Linked DNA regions of Rattus norvegicus. The protein of the gene in region 1 interacts with the protein of each later gene in a pairwise test. Links are inferred from orthologs where the notes say so. Each region holds a gene or a part of one and is shown in the gene's direction. Other genes may lie near its edges.

Region 1 (7,178 bases):
GACCAGGTATTGGGGCACACACCTTTAACCCCAACACTTGGGAGGTACAGGTCAGCCAGGTACACAGCAAGACCTTGTTTCAAAAAAGAAGGGGAAAAAAGCAATTAAAAGTTGTTTTTAGATGGGGAGTTACTAAATCGTCTAGGCTGGATTTGAACTCATGATGCCCCTGTCTTTGCTGCTTGAGTGCTGGGATTACTGGCATGAGCTACCATATCCTGGAAGTGAAGTTGTCTGAGGCAGTAGTATGGTGAGTTCTGGGCCAGCCTGGGCAACATAAGGAAAATCTGATCTCAAAAAAAAAAAAAAAGAAAAAAAAAAAAAGAAAAATTCCAGCGATTATGGTCAGGAATTTGAGAGGCTCATACTTATCGACTGCCCTCCTGGGACTTCTCAGACAGATCTGGGTCATTGAGCTTGCTTCAAGCCCAGCTGGAAGGTTAGAGAATAGCCTCTAATATGAGCAGACACTCACCTTCGTGCCAGGCCCTTCCAGGCCTGAGGCTTTAGGCCGGTGACTTCATCGCGTGGGGCCTGAGGTTGGTTCCTTATCTCTAAAAGGGGCAGAATGAACACTACTTATCTCATAGTGTTACCACAGGGTTCAAATGAGGTAAAGGAGTGCTTTCTCCAGGATGTGGCCTCTGATAACCAGAGGCTTTCTGCTTCCTCTGGGTACCAGGCCGCTGTCCCTGGAGCAGAAGTAGAAGGAAGAGAGCTGTAAAGACTAGCCTATCGTCCAGTCTTCCCCTTTCTAGGACTGGGATGTCTCCACTGGAGATTGACATCGTGAACTTGAATGGTCAGGCTCTCTGATTTTTATTTCACCCAGGCCTGGTGATGCAGGCTGTATTCCCAGCTACTCCAGGAGGGCTGCAAGTTCAAAGCCAGCGTGGGCTATAGAAGAAATTTCATTTCCTCAGTGGAGTTCAACTTGAATCTTTGGGGTTTTGCTTGTTTGTTTTCTGGTTGAGACAAGGTCTTGCTCTGTAGCCTAAGCTGCGTGGAACTCACTGAGTAGCCTGGACTGGCATCAAACTTAGAGCCATCCTCCTGCTTCAGCCTCTTGGTTGCTGGGGTTACGGGCTAGAGCCATCGTGCCTGGTTGAAACGGCCTCTCCTGACATGAAAAAGATGTGTTGCCTAAGGCCTGTGGTTGATGCCAGCCAACCTTAGCACTAGGAGAACCCAGAGCTGGGGCTGGAGCTCATTGGTAGAGCCCTGAGCTCCCTCCCAACACTCGGCGAACTTCATGGGGCAGCGGTGATGAGTACCTAGAATCCCAGCACTTGGAGGAGGATGTAGGAAGATCAGAAGTTCAAGGTTACCTTCTGACACTTAGAGTTCAAAGAAAGCCCAGGATGCCTGGGACCTTGTCTAGAAAATCAAAAACTGTGAGTGAGTGAGTGAGTGGGTGCGTGCGTGTGTGCATTTAATCCCAGTGCTCAGGAGACCGAGGCAAGTGGATTTCTATGAGTTTGTGCTTCACTGGGTCTACATAGTGAGTTGCGGCCCAGTCAGGGCTGTATCATGAAACCCTGCCTTAGAATGATAAAATCAATCAAGCAAGTCAACAAACAGACCCCCCTTCCTCTGAAACAAATAAACAAACAAACAAAAACCTAAAGGAAATTTAAGATGGGGCTTGGAATATAGCTGTTAGTGATTGAGGTTTACTCTCCAGTACCACTCCCTGCAAAGGGGGGAAGACATCCTGAAGTGAACTTTATCTATTTAAAGTGGAAGAGATTATTCCAAGAGATAGTCAAATAAATGCATGTGAAAGTGTTTTAGCAAAGCCAATTCATTGTGCAAACGTGTGTATACTGTTTGCTGTAAGGGCCTCAGCCAAGGAGGATGTCATACCTCATGGCTGACCTAAGTGTGAGTGGGCGAGTTTTATGTGGTGTAAACTCAGTCCTCAGCCTGATTTCTGTTCCTTCCTGCCTCCCTTCTCTGCCCCTAGGCGGTATGAAGCCCAACACGTTGGTGCTCGGTTTTTATGATGACGCCCCACCCCAGGACCATTTTCTAACAGACCCAGCCTTCTCTGAGCCTGCAGAGGGCACCAGAGAGGGCGGGTCGCCAGCCCTGAGCACGCTGTTCCCTCCACCTCGGGCTCCTGGGAGCCCCAGGGCTCTCAGTCCCCAGGACTACGTGGCCACCGTGGCAGATGCTCTCAAGATGAACAAGAATGTGGTTCTCGCCCGAGCTTGTGGGGCTTTGCCCCCGGAGCGGCTAAGCCGGGGGTCCGGTAGCAGCGCTCAGCTACATCATGTGGACGTATGGCCCTTGAATCTGTTGAGGCCCCGGGGTGGACCTGGATACGTGGACGTCTGTGGCCTTTTTCTGTTGCAGATGGCTACCATCTTAAGCATGGTGCCTGCCTGGCACAGTGCCCGGCTCCGGATCTTTCTGTGCTTGGGGCCCAGAGAGGCTCCTGGGGCAGCAGAGGGAAGGCTCCGGGCCCTGTTGAGTCAACTCAGGATCCGGGCAGAGGTGCAAGAGGTGGTGTGGGGTGAAGGGGCTGAGGCTGGGGAGCCTGAGGAGGAGGAAGGGGACTTTGTGAATGGTGGTCGAGGAGACGAAGAGGCAGAGGCTCTAGCTTGCAGTGCCAATGCCCTGGTGCGTGCCCAGCAGGGACGAGGCACAGGAGGAGGCCCTGGGGGACCAGAAGGAAGGGATGGAGAGGAGGGACCCACCACAGCCCTTACCTTCCTGTATCTTCCTCGACCTCCTGCTGATCCTGCCCGCTACCCTAGATACCTGGCACTGCTGGAGACCCTAAGCCGTGATCTGGGTCCCACCCTTCTTATTCATGGTGTCACTCCGGTTACCTGTACTGATCTCTGATGCCTGTGCATACAGTGTTGGATAGATAGAGAGGGCCCAGGCCCATTCTCAACAAGGGACGCCCTCCCCCGCCCCCAATGGGCCCTGCCCTTTTGATGATGTTTTAAGGGGACCCTGGTCTCCTTTGGGTGGCGAATGGACATAGTACACTAATTCTAGGTGGCTGCCCCATTGTAGGGGAGGACATTGCGGCCCTGTTCCTGGTCTGCCTACGCTTCCTTCACTGGTGCCTTGACCAGAGGGGCTGGTCTCTTCTGTGACTCTAGGCTACCTCAGTGTCCCCATCCTGGCCACAGACGCACCACCTCCCTCTCCCCGACTTCCTTGGGTGGTGATGTTTGTGTTTTGTTTTATTTTTCTAACTACTGACCATAAATAAAAGACCAAAACACTATGGGCTGGTGGAGCACTGCTGGTGGGTAGATGAGAGGGAGCCGGGTGGGAAGGGAGAGATCTATGAGGGGGTGGAGACTTTCAGAGTCCCGGCCAAGAGGCTGCCACGTGCAGGACTGGGGCAGGGATCTGAGAGAATTGCTGGACCAGAGCCTCTCGGAGAGGCCTGCAGCCCACCCTAGGCTTGGCTCCGGAGGAGGGCGGTCCTCACTTAACAGGAGGGGGCCAGAGAAAGGAAGAATCGTAGAATAAGGCTTGGGGGACCACGTGACCCTCACCAGGAATGTGGTGACGTCAGGGGGCGTGGTCCTCTCCAAAATTGGGGAGGAAGGGAAGAAAAAAAAAGCCAGAAAAAGTTTCTTTGCTGGAGTCCCAAACGGGGCGTGGGGCCGAAAGGGAGGGAAGGGGCTCAAGGGCCCGGCCGCTGGGCTTGTGGGGGTCCTGACCTCTGTCTGGAGTGGAGCAACCCTATTCCAGACCATGTCCGGGCCCACCTGGCTTCCCCCGAAGCAGCCAGAGCCCTCCAGAGTCCCTCAGGGGAGAGCGCTGCCCAGAGGAACCCTGGGTCCGCCAACGGCCCATGGAGCAAGTAAGTGTTCCCCTTTCCCACACCCGGGAGTGGCAGAAGAGCCATTGGCCACTTTCCTTAACCTTTTCTTCCTTGCCTATCTGCTTCCTGCTGTCCCTTCCCCAAGCCAGAGTCCCTTGCTCTTGTGCAAGTTTCCCTAACTCTTGGTCCATCCCCAGACTCCCAGGTACGTGAAGGAGAGCTGCCTGAGAAAGGCGGCTTTAACCAGGGTACCCTTCTCCGCTCTCACCTCCCGTCTCCCCCTTTAGCGCTCCAGCCTCACCCCAGGGTCAACTTTTGCCCCCTCCCACCTGAACAATGTTATCAGCCTCCGGGGGTACCGGAAGATCGGGGGCCTACTTGGGTGGGATCCCATGGAGCAGCCCAGCGCCTGCAGGTGAGAATTGGAGGTGAGGGTAGGATCAAGGTGAGAGAAGGCTAGGTAGGGGTTGTGATCGGTATTTGTTCTTCCTGTTTTGGCTCTGTCTCAGGGGCTCCCTCCAGACCGGGGAGTCATCCACCCTGGAAGTCTGGACGCTGAGATAGATTCGCTCACCAGCATGCTGGCTGATCTGGACGGGAGTCGCAGTCATGCACCTAGGCGACCAGACAGACAGGTGATCTCCTGTGTTCTGTCTCTCCTGTGTCAGCCGATTCTCTTTTGTAGATTCTCAGCCTCAGTCCGCCCTCTTCACTCTCCGCCCACCCTCTTTGCAACTAATAAATAACTGGTTCAAGGAATCATGAACTTCCTTCTTGTTAGGCCTAACCCATGGGAACTTGACAAAAGTCATGGCTCCCGAGATTCCACCTGGCGCGCATGGATCTTGGATCTGGCCTTACTGTTTGTGCATTGTTTGTCTTCCCAGGCTTTTGAGGCTCCTCCACCCCATGCTTACCGTGGAGGCTCCCTGAAACCCAGCGGAGGTGCTGTTCCAGCCCCGATGCTCCCAGCATCTCCCTATGGTGGACCTACTCCAGCCTCTTATGCTACCGCGAGCACTCCAGCTGGTCCTGCTTTCCCTGTTCAAGTGAAGGTGGCTCAACCCGTGAGAGGCTGTGGACTGCCCAGGCGGGGGGCTTCGCAGGCCTCTGGACCTCTTCCAGGCCCCCACTTTCCTCTGACAGGTCGTGGTGAAGTCTGGGGAGCTGGCTATAGGAGCCACCGAGAGCCAGGACCAGGGGTTAAGGAGGGAGCTGCTGGAGTTCATAACCCTGCAGGAGGAGGAAGAAGAGGTGGGCATGAGCCTCAGGTAAGCCAGGGGGTGTGGGCACGGTGGTACCTGGTCATTGTAGGTAACTGGCCGTTGGTTAGGTGGTGTGGAGGCTGAGGGATTAAGATACCGTTTTTAGGAGACGCAGTTCAGTTGGTAGAGAGTTGGTAGAGTCCTTTTTTTTTTTTTTTTTTTTTTTTTTCTTTTTTTCGGAGCTGGGGACCAAACCCAGGGCCTTGCGTTTGCTAGGCAAGCGCTCTACCACTGAGCTAAATCCCCAACCCCGGTAGAGTCCTTTTTTATTATGTAGGAATCCCAAGGTTCTAGACCCAGCACTGTATAAACAAAGCATGGGGGAGGTAGAGGCAGGAGGATCAGTAAATTAAGATATTTGGCTACATAATGAGTCCAAGGCCAGCCTAGGCCATATGAGACACGCTCTTAAAAATAAATATAAGTCAGTTGTGGTTTTAGGGTACTTAGAGGTCAAGGATTACGATGTCCAAAGGGAAGGGGCTTCCTTCCCTTGTCAGCCTGGGAGATATTCTCAGAGGAAATTTCAGGGTTCCTGAGCTTGTGGGTTACTTACGGTGTGTGAGGTCGAAGCAGCACTGCAAAGCCCTGTTTCTCCCTGTAGGGCCCCTTGAGCCAGCCTCCAGAGGAGGAGCTGGAGAGACTGACCAAGAAGTTGGTGCATGACATGAACCACCCGCCCAGTGGGGAGTACTTTGGTGAGCTGACCCGCTGGGTAGGATGGGACGGGGAGGGGACAGTGGATCCGGTGTCCTGGGTCTGTGGAGACTGATCTTGTTCCCCTCTGTCCCCAGGTCGGTGTGGTGGCTGTGGCGACGATGTGGTTGGTGATGGAGCTGGGGTTGTGGCCCTGGACCGTGTCTTCCATACTGGTTGCTTCGTGTGTTCTACCTGTCGGGCCCAGCTCCGAGGCCAGCACTTCTATGCCGTGGAGAGGCGGGCGTATTGTGAGAGCTGCTATGTGGTGAGCGGTTGGGCTGTGAGAGGGTGTTGCCAAATTGGGAGTGTCAAGATTTGACAGGCAGGTTTCTATCCAAGAGAGGGCCAGGTACTCAGCTGGGTGGGCCTGGAAGCTGGAGATTCAAGCTGAGGTACAATGAACTAAGTATGGTGGCTCAGGCCTGTCTGGAGGAGAACATGGGCTACGGAAGCGGGTTGGAAGCCAGCCCAAGGCACAGGTTTCCGAAGATCGATTGATCCATCAACCAAAAGAACACTTTGCGTTTTGTTTCTTGGATTGCCTGTTTGTCGTTTTGAGATAATACGTCGTGTGTCCCAGGCTGGCCTGAAACTCTTAGGTATTTATAGCTAAGGAAGACCTTGGGTATGGGGATTCCAGGTGTGGGCCACCAGATCTGTTCTTTGTGGTGTTAGGAATGGAACCCAGGGCTCTTGCATGCCGGACAAACACTTTACCAACTGAGCTACAACCCCAGATTAAGGAATGAGTTAAATGTGGACACGAGCTGAAGGAGAGGAGGAACAGCTCGTGCTGTCTAAGTGGGTGGCCACCTTCCTTCCTTCCCTCCTTCCCTCCTTCCCTCTTTCCCTCCTTCCTCCCCTCTTTTCCTCCACCTCTCCTTCCCTTTCTCCCTCCTTCCTTCTTTCCTTCCTTTGAGACCGAGTCTCACTACGTAGCCTAGGCTGGTCCTGAAGTTACAGTCTTCCTGCCTCGGCTTCCGAGAGCTGAGAAACCAGATGTGTGCCCAGCTAGAAGGCATTTTAGAGTTGAGGTAATTTGTAAAAGCCTCACAGCATTCCTCAGAGGCAAGCACTACTGACTCATCTCACTGAAAGAGGAAGTGTGCGGAGACCAGATTCCTTGTCTAGAGGCTTCAGTGCCCGTATGAAACCTCAGAAATGCTAAGTCCACCTTCCACTGAATGCTCTGCGGGGAACTACACACACCACGTGGTTGGGCAGAGAGTACGCCTTCCTGGCTGGAGTGGCTTTTCCCCCTGACCTTCCTTCCTCTTTCCTATTAGGCCACACTGGAGAAATGTTCCACATGCTCTGAACCCATCCTGGACCGAATCCTGAGGGCTATGGGGAAGGCTTACCATCCTGGTTGCTTCACCTGTGTGGTGTGCCACCGTGGCCTCGATGGCATCCCTTTC
Region 2 (7,178 bases), on another chromosome or scaffold:
AATGTTCTAAGGAGTCCATAAGGGATGCTGTTCAGGTCCGTGTTTTTTGGCCTGGTGGGCCTCTGTGCAGACAAGGCCTCGGTTACGATCACGACCGGATGGCGGCGGCCTTGCCTTAGCGGCTGCCTGAGATATCCGGTGAGGGGGCACCCGCGGCGTCTTTGTGTGCCCACACCGTGGGCAGGAAACCCTTTGCCAGCTCCATTGGTTCAGAAGCTGGAATCGGGCTGAATTCCTGCCTAAGTTCTGTGGAGCTGACCACTGGGAAAGCTCTAGCAGGAAGCTTTGACCAGCTCCGCCAGTTTTACAGGCCCTAATTCGGCCTTTGACCGTGATGAAAGAGCCTCACCGGGGCCAAGGCTTGATTACTTGCTGGCTTGCTACTAGCAGGATCAGACTGAGAAAATGTTAGACATGTCCGGCCTTGTGCAGCTGAGTGTTTGAGAAAGGAGACCTTCCCAGCTCCAATATATTTTAAGTGAGTGAAAACAACCTCCAATTCAAGAATAGGGAGGGCACAAACTGGGGTACTGGACTAAATTCTAATCTAAGAAAACCAGCCTAACCACTCTTAATACAGAAGACTGAAAACAAACCACTCTTTCCCACCAACGACATAGGCACTACCGAGACCGCAGAACTCTGTTTCCCTTCCCGGCTCATGCTGATGCATGGGAATTGTTTTCATTACTCAGTCAACAACCTGTTATCTGAATGACCAGTCCACCCGGTTCCCCCCAATTCTTCTCTGCTGGTTTCTGGATCCAGGTATTGGATTTATTTCAAAGCCCACAGTTTTAGGAGGATTCTCGGTTGAGAATGAGGTGGTGTGTGATTCATCCATTTATTATTTCTAGATGTGTATACAACTCCTTTCTCATCCAAAAGAAAGCAGAAATAAAAACATGTACGCTTTAGGATCAAGTTTCTAGACTTACAAGGACAGTATCTGCTTTTAGGATTTTTTTTCCCCTTCTGGCCACACATAAACAGCTGCTTAATACTCGATGCGTGCTCCTTTGTGATTTTTCTAGTTGGAGACTACAGGGTTTTTTAAAATGTATTTTAATTAATAATAATAAGGATATGATGAAGAAGATGATGACGATGATGATGATGGTGGTGGTGGTGGTGGTGACACATCTTCTCTGAATGCAAAAAGTGAAAAAGCCAGCCAGGAGTACTCTACTATTTACAACTAAGAGCAGAGTTATGCTCCAGGATTAGTGCTTTAATGAAAACCTGAACCTCAGAGGACTGCCGGATATTTAGAACACCTTGGGCTGTGTTGGGGTGTGTGTGACTTGGAGGAATTTGTAGGGAAAGGAAAATATTAGGGGGAGGGGACTGAGGCAGTCAGGACAGGCCACATCCAGTTGCTGGTGTTGGCCACTTTCTTCTCCTTCCTGCCTACGAGCAAAGGAGGGAGTCTGTATTCCCAGAGAGCTTCACAGCCCCTCTTTGGTGTAGAGCCTAATATTTTGGGGGGATCTTTGTCTCCTGAGACAGGAATCCGCCAGTGTTGGAAAGTGTTTACTTGAACTATTTCTGAGAAAGAAAGTAAAAACAAAGGTGGAAATGTCTCCAGCCAGCAGTTTTGTGGATAGCGAAGTGAAGTAATGAGAAACATACTCTTGGAGGGCACAGAATCCACACGTGAATTTAATTACACAGCTCCTAGGAGTTTGATGCTTTGTGTTCCAGATTGGGATGGGGCCACCATCCCTCCCATTAGCAACAGTGACTGTGGCCTTTTCACTTTTTTCCTCATCCCCCAAAATTCTAAGGGTGAAAAACAACATCCTCCATTTGTCCAAAGGATGAGATTAAAGTCAATGTCCAGTGCTCCTCCTGGGTTCCTCTGTAGCACTGGACTTGAGCTGCAGTCCTCTAGTGTTGGCTCTTGGATCTCTGTTGTTCTGTTTCATGGATAACCAAGGCAGGGTTGCTGGAGATAGAGAGGGGAAAAGAAAAAGAAAAGGGAGAGGGAAGGACGGAAAGAAGGGAAAAGGGAATGGAAGGGAAGCAAAAGGAAGGAAGGGAGAGAAGTGGGGTGGGAGAGGAATGAGAAGAAAGAACAGAGGAGGGAAGGATCCCAGGGAGGTTCATACAGGGCCCAGAGATGGCCATTTTAAGTGCCCGTGCTCCTCTTTTAGGAGAGGCGAGCCCTCAGCAAGACGAACTCCTCTGGTACTGATAGTGACTAGGCATATGGATGATGGAGCTTAGAACCGGCTGGATAGGGAAGAAAATTCGTGGAGCATTTTGTGCTCAAAGATGTGGGCCGTGGCGCTTGTGACACAGCAGGGCGTTTGTGACACAAACCTTAGAGGGTAGCTGGCAGTCCTCTCCTTGGCAGTTCCTCTGTGGAGCCTTCCCTTGTGGAGCAAGGGTGATCTGGGTGCTGTGCAAGCGCCTGGCTGGCTTTCCAATCTAACTAGGGTCAGTAGCGCATTTTAGGTTGGTGGTATCATCGATGGTGCATCGCGACAAGGGCGGTGGTCACACTGTTTGAGGTGGAGAGAGCCTTGTATTTGACTTTTCGAGGCCGGCCTGGGGCCGGGGCCTGGAGGGGGTGCGGGAGGGGGCTCACATCTCTGAGGACTGCAAGAATTATTTACAGGGCGCTCACCAACCAAACACAACAGTCTAATTTAACCTTTCCAAGTCCCCATAAATTTTTACAGGGAGCCGCAGCGAGGCAAACGAATCTGTTGGTCGTTCCTGACTTTCCACCAGCCTGTGTGGCTTCCGAAACAATAACTCCTTATGAAATATCATAAATATAGATTTAAATACAGTGGAGTGAGAATGCGATTTGGCTGCTTTTTTATGGCTTCAATTATTGTCTAATTTTATGTGAGGGGCTCTGCTGGCCGTGCTCGCACGCGGGACCCGCGCCTTCCTGATGGCGTGATTAATTGTGATATAAAATAGTCCGCTTAAGAAGTGTGTGTGTCTGGTATGTGTGTGTGTGTGTGTGTTTGTGTGTGTGTGTGTGTGTAGAGGGGGTGGCAAGGAAGAGTACCGAGGCAAGGCCAGATTTGATCTTTTAATCTTCGTTGGCCACAATTAAAACAAACCAGATCGTGGAGCTGCGCGATCCCTTTGCATAAAAACATATGGCTTTTGCTATAAAAATTATGACTGCAAAACACCGGGCCATTAATAGCGTGCGGAGTGATTTACGCGTTATTGTTCTGCTGGGCGGACACGTGACGCGCGTGGCCAATGGGGGCGCGGGCGCCGGCAACTTATTAGGTGACTGTACTTCACCCCCCCTGGTGCCACCAAGTTGTTACATGAAATCTGCAGTTTCATAATTTCGGCGGGTCGGGCTGGGCCGGCCAGGCGCGGGCTACTGCGATGGCTACCACCGGGGCCCTGGGCAACTACTATGTGGACTCCTTCCTGCTAGGCGCTGACGCTGCGGACGAGCTGGGTGCGGGACGCTACGCTCCAGGGGCCCTGGGCCAACCCCAAAGGCAGGCGGCAGCGCTGGCCGAACACCCCGACTTCAGCCCTTGCAGCTTCCAGTCCAAGGCGGCGGTGTTCGGTGCCTCGTGGAACCCAGTGCACGCGGCAGGCGCCAATGCGGTGCCTGCTGCGGTGTATCACCACCACCACCACCCCTACGTGCACCCCCAGGCGCCCGTGGCGGCGGCGGCGCCGGACGGCAGGTACATGCGCTCCTGGCTGGAGCCCACGCCGGGTGCGCTCTCCTTCGCGGGCTTACCCTCCAGCCGGCCTTATGGCATTAAACCTGAACCGCTGTCGGCCAGAAGGGGTGACTGTCCCACGCTTGACACTCACACTTTGTCCCTGACTGACTATGCTTGTGGTTCTCCTCCAGTTGATAGAGAAAAACAACCCAGCGAAGGCGCCTTCTCCGAAAACAATGCCGAGAATGAGAGCGGTGGAGACAAGCCCCCCATCGATCCCAGTAAGTGTCTCCTTCCTGCAAATCGGCCGCTGCCTCCACGCAGGCCACCAGGATCTACCAGCGCATCAGCTTTCTCTCGAGCCTGCCTTCGTTCTCGATGGGTGCCTCTGAATCTAGGGCCCGAGAACCAGAAGTTGGTGTTTGGAACACCTCTGATAGGGGCCCCAAGTCCAGAGAACCGTGTGGATCAGGCCGGGCCAGCTAGGGGAAAGGGAGGAGGATACTGCAGTACGAGGGGGCGGGGCGGGCGAGCGAGTGGAGCCGAGACCCGCCGCCCCTCTCCTAAGCTGCCCAGGCCTAGGACAGACAGACTTTGGGCGGTTCTTCGAAAGCAGCGCAGAGAAGTCTTTTGTGCGGCTAGATTGTGCACGAACTGTGGCAGCGACGTCAGCCGGGCAATCTGACCCGGGACGCTTGGGGAGACCTCCGATTCCCTCCATTTCTTGCTTTCGGCCGGTGGCGGCGGAAATCCTGCCCAAGATGAGGCTACGGGCTTTGGAACCACGAGGGTCCCTTTGCCAGATTTATTCAAATAAAGTGGAGCCCTGATCAAAGGCCCTGGGGCATCCTGCCTCCCGCGTAGTTCCCACGGCCTTCCGGGAAGGTCAAATAAAGAGTGGGGGCAGTTGCGAGGAAGCTGGGGAAAGGGGGGGAGGGGAGAGAGAGAGAGAGAGAGAGAGAGAGAGAGAGAGAGAGAGAGAGAGAGAGAGATTAATCTTGCCACAAGAACTCAGGATAGCTTGCTCTTTACTGGCAAAAGAAAGAAAGAAAGAAAGAAAGAAAGAAAGAAAGAAAGAAAGAAAGAAAGAAAGAAAGAAAGAAAGAAAGGAAGGAAGGAAGGAAGGAAGAAAAAGAAAAAGAAAAAGAAAGAAAAAATGGTTTCCAAATTTCACCCTTTCACAATATGCAGACTGTGGAAAGAAGAAGAGGAGGAGACAGGAGAGGCGAAAGGAGGGTGGGGATGGTAGGGGGAACTGAGACTTTCCCGGCGCTGTTGTGACCCTCCGTGGGTCTGTCTGCTAGGGCTTCATTGTGTTTTCTCTAACCAATTCAGCCGCATCCTGCACTTCGACCAGAGACCCCCAAGAGGCTCCTTCAGACCCACCCGGGACCCTTCTCCTTCTAAACCCCGTGTCTCTCTCCCTCCACAGATAACCCGGCCGCCAACTGGCTACATGCTCGCTCCACTCGGAAGAAGCGGTGTCCCTACACAAAACACCAGACGCTGGAACTGGAGAAAGAATTTCTGTTCAACATGTACCTCACACGGGACCGCAGGTACGAAGTGGCCCGGCTACTCAACCTCACCGAAAGGCAGGTCAAGATCTGGTTCCAGAACCGCAGGATGAAAATGAAGAAGATCAACAAGGACCGAGCAAAAGACGAGTGAGCCTTTGGGGGGCTCGTTTAAAAAAAAAGAGAGCAAGCTAGAAAGAAAAAGAAAGGACTGTCTGTCTCCCTTTCTCTCCCCTCTCCCAAACCCAGCCTCCACCACCCGCACAAAGGGGCTCTAAATCCCAGGCCTCATGTCTCCCTGGCAGTCCCTGCTCAGGCTGGGTCCTAGGCCTTCGGCTTTAATGGAGGAGGTATTGTAAGCTTTCCGTTTTCTAGAAGGCACACACACAAGGGAGGGCATTAGCGCTGTTGTCTGTATGTGCTAGCTTGTATATATATATATTTAAAAAAAATCTACCTGCTTCCGACTTTAAGCAAAAGGAAAGAAAACTACCTTTTTATATAATGCACAACTGTTGATGACTGGCTGTATAGTTTTTAGTCTCTGTAGCTAATTTAATTTGCTCTTCGTGTGGCAGAGCATTCTGCCAAAATACTTGAACACTGTGTTTTATTGTGGTAATTATGTTTTGTGACTCAAACTTCTGTGCTGGGTGAAGTGCCCATTGTGATTGTGGATGCTAGAATTCAATTTGAACTCAGGTTGTTTATGGGGGAAGAGAAGCTGTCGCATAGAGTATAGCTCTGTAGTGGGATACGTCTTCTGTGTAACTAGACTGTTAACCTACAACTGTAAACTAGCTGTAAGGATTTCCCAGTGAAATCAAACTTGGAAAGAAAAGGGAGGTAGTTCTCCAGGATGCATAGATTCCTGATTTATCTGCTTTTGAAATGTGGGTTTTTTTTTCCATCTTTACACGTTCTAGATTCCAGTTTTGTCCAATGTATATAGGATCTCCACATTAAAGAAATATCCATGATCAGAAAGCTTGAAGATTGTTTTTGCACCAGAGGAGAAGTGAGGAAATTCGGAGCTATACACATGTGCAGAGGGTTACTACCTATGGTTTATGCTTAATTTTAATTAGGGGAAAGTGAGTGCTTACTGTAATGGAGTTAATTTTATTGATAATAAATTATACACCATGAAAACGCTATTGGGCTACTGTAGATTTGTATCCTTGGTGAATTTGGGGTTTCCATCGGACTGAACATACACTGTATATTTTGCAATAGTTACCTCAAGGCCTACTGACCAAATTGTTGTGTCAAGATATTTAACTTTTGCCAAATAAAATATATTGATTCTTTTACGTTGTGCGGGTCTGCTTTTTGTACCATCTTTTTTCTGGATATGTTTTCCGGGGAGGGCTGAGGTGAGGCGGGAGGAAAGCCGTAATTCTGTCTCTAACTGGAACCAGCCATAGACGGGCCAGGCCTAAGCACTCCGGATTCAGCCCGGAGACGCTCGGTAGGAAGCAGGAGCAGCGGAAAGCGGGGAAGATCAACGGTGGAGGTGTTGTAGCAAATAGACTCGGGTCTATTAGACATCAGAGAAGTATCTGGGGTGCTGCACAAAAGAGCTGGGCCTCACTGGCCAGCAAGGTGGAAAGCCCGTCCACTCTTTCATTTTTGGTGCCTCAAAAATTTGACCAAACCTGGACTCACAAAAAAAAAAAAAAAAGAGCTGAAGCCTTTGGAAGTAGGGTGGTAGAGTTGAGGGCTGCAAGACAAGGAGCTGAGGGCTCGTTCCCTGCTAAGAAGGCTCTGAGGAGACAAGCGGGAGCCACACGTGGGCAATAAGGTGACTCCTTCAAATATTCAGGGGTTTTCAGAGAGTAGAAAATCTGTACCCTTGTGCCTCACTCCGTCCTGCCAACCTTGCTGGGGACGGGTTGGGGGTAGGGATCAGCATCCTACACTGCAAAGCCACCTCCGGAGCTTAAGTCTCCCACAGAAGCAGGCCTTAGCAACCGACAAGCCCCGAAGCGCCATAAAA
Region 3 (7,070 bases), on another chromosome or scaffold:
ATGCTGGATGGAAGGATTAAGCTCCGTGTCTCAGGGTTGGTAGCAAGTGCCTTTCCCCACTGAGTCATTTCACTGGCCCTGAAGTGACACTTTTGATCTAGTTACATCACAAATTCTTTTACTTTTGATATTGGTAGTAATGGTCTTACCTTGACCTTACAGTTCTGCTTCTGCCAACAAGTGTTGGATCACAAGCATCAGAACCTACACCCAAAATCTTTTTAAAAAGCCTGATTAAAAACTGTAATTATAAGCCTGGTGGTGGTAGGACACGACTTTTAACACAGCCCTAGGGAGGCAGAGGGTCTCTGTGAGTTCAAGGGCAGCCTGGTCTACAGAGCTAGTTCCAGGACAGCCAAGGGTTCACAAAGGAACCCTGTCTGAGAAAAACAAACAAAAACTTAATCATACATTTGGAGATGTGCTATAGCTTAGAAGTACTATGTTTGCTTATCTTGTATTAGGTGCTAGAGTTGATCTATAATAAATACTTCAAAAATGCATACAAGTTAAAAGAAGAGAATGAGATTTCTGTTCCACATTATAATCTAAAAATAGTTTTATTACCTTTATTTATTTAGTGTGTGTATTGTGTAGTCACATGCCAAGGTACACTAATGAGGGTGAGAGGACACCTTTGAGGAGTCCAGACCCAGGATCACACTGTCAAGCTTGGTTGTAGGTACCTTTCCCTGCTGTTAGTGCAGCCCTGACTTCCCCACTGTGTGGTTCTGCTTGTGTGTATCCTAACTGAGGTAAATGGTCGTTTTCACTAGTAAACTTGAGGTCTTGAGATACATTCTTTACTATCTTTGAACTCAGTAGTTGATTGTTAGATTGTATTGTATGTGACACAACACTTATTATAAATTATTTCAAAAAGTTTTTTTGGATTACAGTCTATTGGTACTTAAAGTTTTGGCCAGGCATGGTGGTGCCTTTAATCCCAGCACTTAAGGAATGAGTGACAGTGAAGAAAAATCTTTATTCCACTCCACTGCCTGATATTATGTCCTGTTGTCTTCCAGACTGACAGACTTTTATAATGAATACAAATTAAAACCTAATCGACCTTATTCTATATAAGGAAATGGAGAAACAATTGTATTTTCAATATATATTGGAAGTAACTGCCTTAAGTCCTTTGGTGTTCATGATCCAGTGGCCTAGCAAGCTATATGATGCTAACTGACTATAAGGGAGTAAAAAACCCAAAACATCTTAAGGACAGTAGTAAATTTCTTTATTAGGTAGGGAGCCATGAATTACACAAGTGGTCAGAGACAGTACCAAAATTAGTTTTGAGGATTGTATTGTTTTGTTTTAAAAGTTTTTAGTTTGTTTTTGGTCAAAAATTATGTTCTTTGTTTTTGTTTCTTTCAAACAAGAGTCTTATATGGCCCAGGCTGTCCTTGGGAGCCAGTGAACTTGATGAAGTCCATCAGGTCGATGAACTTGAGTTCCTCCTGCCTATGCTTCTGGGTGTTAGAGTAACAGATACCAACACTATACCTGATGAGGGTAGTTATTTTTATTTCTCTTTTAGCTTTTCATTATTTTATATTCTGCTTCTTTCCTTTCCCACCAGCACATACAACCTTTTATTCTGTAACTCCTGTGGGACTCCTGTTGGTTTCCATTTATATTCTACCCGTGCTGCTCTGGCTGCCTTGAGAGGCCATTTCTGCCTTTCTTGTGATAAAATGCTGTGGTGAGTAGAGACATTACTTATTAAATAAGGTTTTTAAAAGATGCTAGGAAAGTCCAGGTGTTTATAACCAAAGAAGATACAAAAGGTCAGGCACTATTTATTATAATATATACTTGCATAGGGATAAAATATAATTTTTAAATAAATATTATTTTAGATGGTTTATTGTACTGTGTCTTAATATGGATTAATTTAAGAATGTTCTTTCATTAAGGAAAATTCTGGAAGGTATGCTTTTGCAAAATAGTGTCAATATAGACAACTTGGAGATTTTATATATCTCCATCCCAAGGAAGCCAATCAGATTTTCTACCCCAGGAGTTTGAAATAAGGCCTGTGTTGGTTACTTGTTTCATGACAAGACAAAATACCTGACAAAAGCAAGCTCAGGAAAGGAGGGCTTCTTGTGGCTCAGTTTGAAGGCACAGTCCATCACAGTGGGAAGTCCATGGAGGAGATGCTGGTCATGCTGTATCAGCAGCAGGAAGCAGAAAGACAAATGCCAGTGCTTAGGTTGCTTTCTCTCAATTTTTTTTCTTGTTTTATTGGGTTTTTTGTTTTTCAAGATAGGGTTTCTTTGTGTAATAGCCCTGGCTGCTTGGGCTTGCTTTTAGACCAGGCTGGCCTCAAACTCACTGTCTCAAACTGTGTCTGGAGTGCTAGGATTAACAGTGTGAGCCACCACTCCTGTTCTCTCTATCTGTCCTGCTGACCCCTGCTCTGACTCTATGGGTTTTTCCTATGTTCGCTTCCTGTCAATGGTTGCTTGCTGCACGTCTTGATCTGCAGTTACTTTACTCAGACTTTGCTTACAATAAACAGCTCTCGGATTAAAGGTGTGTGCTAAGGCTGAGCCACACCACAACCAGAAACAGGTTTTTCTAGTACACAGTTTCTGTGTTCACAGATAATCTTCCTTACTAATTAAACATTTAATCTAAGATATTTTATTACAAGAAACTGAAAGAATGGAGAAATGGCTCAGAAGTTAAGATTACTTAGCCAGACATGGTGGCACATGCCATTAATTTCAGCACTCAGGAGGCAGGGGCAAGTGGCTCTCTGAGTTCAAAGCTAGCCCAGTCCACAGAGTGAGTTCCAGATTGCCAAGACTACAAAGGGAAATGCTGTTTTGAAAAACAAACAAACAATAATGTAATACTAACATATTTTAATGTACTTAGATGTTTGTAGTGATTTATGTAAGCCAAAACAACATTTATAAGAAAGTCTCCTTTAACTCTGAGACCATTAGTGGCCACTTGGCTTTCCTGTTATTCACGCAACTTCCAACAGTGTCCTGGCATTATACTTAAATAACAAACATACTGTAAATTTCTACTTCCTTTTCATGTCTTTGTTTGTTTGTTTGTTTGTTTGTTGTTTTTTTGCTTGTTTGCTTTGAGTAGGTCTGGCTCTTTGGCCTGACTGGTATAAAATTACAATGTATATATAAAGAGACATTATTGATTCTGTAAATTCTTTTTCTCTAGAGAACCCTGATGAATTAAAGACATAAATCATAATGCCTGGCTTCTTTTTTTCCCCCTAAGTTATTGTTATTTAGAATTATATTTAAAAAGAAAAATAAGCATTAAAAAGCATCCTCTTATTTTTTTTTCCTTCTCATTTTGTGTTTTATTTTGTTTTGAGACAGGGTCTCTAATATCCCTGGCTGACCTGGAACTCCCCATCTAGTCCTGGCCAGCTTTCAATTCCCAGAGGCCCACCTGCCATTCCTTCAAAGTGATGGCGTCAAGGCTGCACCGTACTGCAGGGTAAAAGTTGTAAACTTTTACCAATGATGGTTATCCATCTGATTCTGGATTGTCTTTAGTTTTTCCTGAGACAGTTTTGTTACTGAGAATGGCAAAGGTTCAAGCAGAGTTTGTGGTTTTAATTGATATTTTTTTTTCCAGTAAAATACACCATGCTGCTTCAAACCATAAGGAAGGTTTTACTCAACAGATATTTTAGAGGGCAAGTTTGGTCCATTGGTAATGGTACTAATATTTTCTCTATATATTTTCTCTCTAGCTATCTGTTAAAAACAAAGGCCATAGTAAATACATCTGAGATGGATATTTACAATGTACCTTTACCAGAAAAGATTGCAGAGGTAAACCTGGTTGTATAGTTACTTACGTACACAGCATTTTCATTTTGGGTTTCCCTTTTGGAGACAGGATTTTTACTATGTATTTGTCACTTGTCTCAATTAACTATGTAGAACAGGCTCTCCTAGAACTAAGCTATATCCATTCCCTTAATACAGGCAATTTTTAAGTGTGTTTGGTTTTGTTTTGTTTTTAGATTTGTTTTATTTTAAGTCTGGTAACATTATAAGCAGCAAATCAAGGGTTGAGTATAAGATGTCCTCAATCTGTGTCTCTCCTCAGCTGAAAGAGAAGATAATGCTGATGCATTCTCGTTTAAACTCACTGCTGAGGGTTCTGAAGGAAAAGACTCCTCCTCAGTCTGACCAGGAAAATAGAACAAGCAACAAGCAAGGTAGCGTACAGAACTTCCTTCAACACCCGAAGTGCTCTGGTCATTTCTTCCTTCTTCTTTCCTTAAGGTCTCTTCTCTCTCTCTCCCTGCCCCCCCTTCTCTCTCTCTCTCTCTCTCTCTCTCTCTCTCTCTCTCTCTCTCTCTCTCTGTGTGTGTGTGTGTGTGTGTGTGTGTGTGTGTGTGTGTGTGTGTATGGTTGGAACATGTGGGCTGTTGCTCATGGAGGCCAGAAGAGAGCATGAGATTCGGTAGAGCTGGAATTACAGGCAGTTGTTAAGTGCTGGGAACTAACCTCTACAAAAGCTGGAAGCTCTCTTAACACTTATCCATGATCCATCTCTCTAGTTCCCATTGGTCTTTTCTTTTTTTTCTTTGGTGGCGGGATGGGGGGCATTTTGGTTTTGAGACAGGGTCTCACTATGTATTTCTAGCTGTCCTAGATCTCACAAGGATCTTCCTGCCCCACCAGAGTACTGGGATTAAAGGCATGTGCCACCATACCCTCTTGGTCTTTAACTTTTTAAATAATATTAAATATTAAGAACAGAGGGCTGTCAGATCTGGTGATGCCTGTGATCCCAACACTTGAAATACAGGAAGGAAGATCACAAGAGTAAGGCAATCCTTAGCTGTGTTATGGATGTGAGGCCTCCCTAAAGTTCCTAAGAACATGTCCCACTATCTGTACTCATCACATTGTTTGAGAATATGCCTTCAAGCCTATTTCCCCAGCTCATCAGCCCACTCCTGCTTTGGGGAGTCAGTGTTTTTCCTTTTCATAATAAGCTGTGACCGTAATAACTTTTTTAAATATTTATTTATTTATTGTGTAATTATATAGAAGTATACTGTAGCTGTCTTCAGACACACCAGAAGAGGGCATCAGAGCTCATTACAGATGGTTGTGAGCCACCATGTGGTTGCTGGGATTTGAACTCAGAACCTCTGGAAGAGCAGTCAGTGCTCTTAACCACTGAGCCATCTCTCCAGCCCCCGTAATAACTTTTATTTGCCTGATGTAGCTGTCTTCTCCAAGGCTTACTGCGTCCATCTGCTAACCTAGGCCTAGTTCGGGAAGCTTCCAGCCTGTATACAGTCTTACCTAGATCTAGAATGTTCTCAGCCTCTGAGACTTGCTGCTGAATAAGCTCACCCTTTCTAGTTCTTTCTGAGCTCCAGCTGGTCAGCTCAGCTCTTCTGGCTCACCATGCTGACTGATTCAGTCTGGCTTCTCAGCTTCTGAGTTGCTCTGCTTGACCTCATACTAACTTATGTTATGGCAATATGTTCTAATCTTCTGGCTCCCTCTGTCTTTAACTGTGTTTAGCTTGTTCTTTCTTCAACCTGTCTGTAAAACTACATCTTCTTTTCTCTCTGCACTGCCCCTTAAGTAGCTTCCTTTTTCTCTCCTCATTAGAGTAGGGTATATTCTATTCTGTCAAGTCTTTCTCCAATTCGTCACCTTGTCGGCCACTCAATCAGATATCATTTTCTTTTTTTTTTTAAAGATTTATTTATTTTGTATATGAGTACACTGTAGCTGTCTTCAGACACACCAGAAGAGGGCATCAGATTCCATTACAGATGGTTGTGAGCTACCATGTGGTTGCTGGGAATTGAACTCAGGACCTCTGGAAGAGCAGTCAGTGCTCTTAACCACTGAGCCATCTCTCCAGCCCCCCAGATATTATTTTCAAACATGGGTGCTTCCTTCTATACTTCTAACTTTACCTTGGTTTGGGATTAAAGGTGTGTATTAAGGGTGTGTATGTATGCTTTATTCCAGCCATTGGGAACAAAGGTGTGCGTGCGCGCGAGCTGGGCCATACCACAACTAGAAACTGTTTTGTTTTGTTTTTCAGGAAACAACACAATCTTGGGGTTCATAGAATGATCAAAGATCCTGCAGCACGTGACTCTATTACTTTAAATTTATTTTACTATGTTGATTCCATAATGCTTATTTCTGAAAATGTATTTCACTACTAATAACTAATTAGCATGCAGTGTCCCTTGTGTCCACTGACGAACAGAATGAACAGATGGCCTGGATAAAGAAATGGAGTTAATAGAGATGGTACTTCTACGTGCCAGTTATATGAATACTTATAAATACTTGTTTATTTGTTTTGAAACAAGGTCTCTCTCTATAGCTTTGGCTGTCCTGGAACTTTCTATGTAGACCAGGGTAGCCTTAAAGTTATACAGATCTACATTCCTCTGCTTCCTCTGCTAGAATTAAAGAAGAATGTCACCAAGACATCATTTTTGTTTATGTAAAATAGATATGTACATTGGATGGTGGCGGTGCATGCTTTTAACCCCAACACTCTGGAGGCAGAAGTAGGCGATCTTTCAATTCAAGGCCAGCCTGATCTACAGAGTGAGTTCTAGGACAGCTAGGCCTACATAGAGAAACCCTGTCTGGAACAAAACAACAAATATATATGTAATAAGTAACAGTTAAGAAATAGAATGCATGCACAATAAACAATTTGTATCTTTTTGCTGTTGTTTTTAGGTAGGGTCTCATTTGTAATCCCCACTTTGAAAGGTTATGTGGACCAGGCTGGCCTTGCACAGAGATCTACCTGTCTTTGCCTCCTAGATTTTGAGATTAAAGATGTGCACCACACTCCTGTTTGGCCTGCAGAAGCTGTCAGATCCCTCCCCTGGAACTGGAATTATCGGCAGTTAAGGGTATTGGAAACTGAACCCTAGGTCTCTGAAATAGCAGTAAGTGTACTTACCTGCTGAGCCATCTCTCCAGCCTCACAGACCGGGACTTAATAAATTCATAATACGGGGTTGGGGATTTGGCTCAGTGGCAGAGCGCTTGCCTAGGAAG

Evidence for each region.
Region 2: the proteins of Trip6 (region 1) and Hoxa9 interact in binary tests that used the Homo sapiens proteins (3 or more experiments, as listed by UniProt). The two-hybrid records come from large-scale screens. The link is inferred for Rattus norvegicus from reciprocal best matches to the Homo sapiens genes TRIP6 and HOXA9.
Region 3: the proteins of Trip6 (region 1) and Oip5 interact in binary tests that used the Homo sapiens proteins (3 or more experiments, as listed by UniProt). The two-hybrid records come from large-scale screens. The link is inferred for Rattus norvegicus from reciprocal best matches to the Homo sapiens genes TRIP6 and OIP5.

The regions. Positions count from the first base shown.
Region 1 is NC_086030.1:25,019,382-25,026,559, forward strand, and holds the start of Trip6 (thyroid receptor-interacting protein 6), read left to right. Parts: upstream 1-3,577; 5' UTR 3,578-3,726; coding exon 3,727-3,835; intron 3,836-4,083; coding exon 4,084-4,211; intron 4,212-4,305; coding exon 4,306-4,431; intron 4,432-4,683; coding exon 4,684-5,067; intron 5,068-5,665; coding exon 5,666-5,759; intron 5,760-5,855; coding exon 5,856-6,025; intron 6,026-7,046; coding exon 7,047-7,178. Other genes in the region: Slc12a9 (solute carrier family 12 member 9), read left to right, coding at 1,967-2,853. UniProt on the Homo sapiens protein: Relays signals from the cell surface to the nucleus to weaken adherens junction and promote actin cytoskeleton reorganization and cell invasiveness. Involved in lysophosphatidic acid-induced cell adhesion and migration.
Region 2 is NC_086022.1:82,653,161-82,660,338, reverse strand, and holds Hoxa9 (homeobox protein Hox-A9), read left to right. Parts: upstream 1-3,290; 5' UTR 3,291-3,366; coding exon 3,367-3,943; intron 3,944-5,094; coding exon 5,095-5,333; 3' UTR 5,334-6,492; downstream 6,493-7,178. UniProt on the Homo sapiens protein: Sequence-specific transcription factor which is part of a developmental regulatory system that provides cells with specific positional identities on the anterior-posterior axis.
Region 3 is NC_086021.1:127,048,520-127,055,589, reverse strand, and holds part of Oip5 (protein Mis18-beta), read left to right. Parts: intron 1-1,588; coding exon 1,589-1,711; intron 1,712-3,748; coding exon 3,749-3,830; intron 3,831-4,110; coding exon 4,111-4,222; exon of another isoform or gene 4,223-4,223; intron 4,224-6,084; coding exon 6,085-6,116; 3' UTR 6,117-7,070. UniProt on the Homo sapiens protein: Required for recruitment of CENPA to centromeres and normal chromosome segregation during mitosis.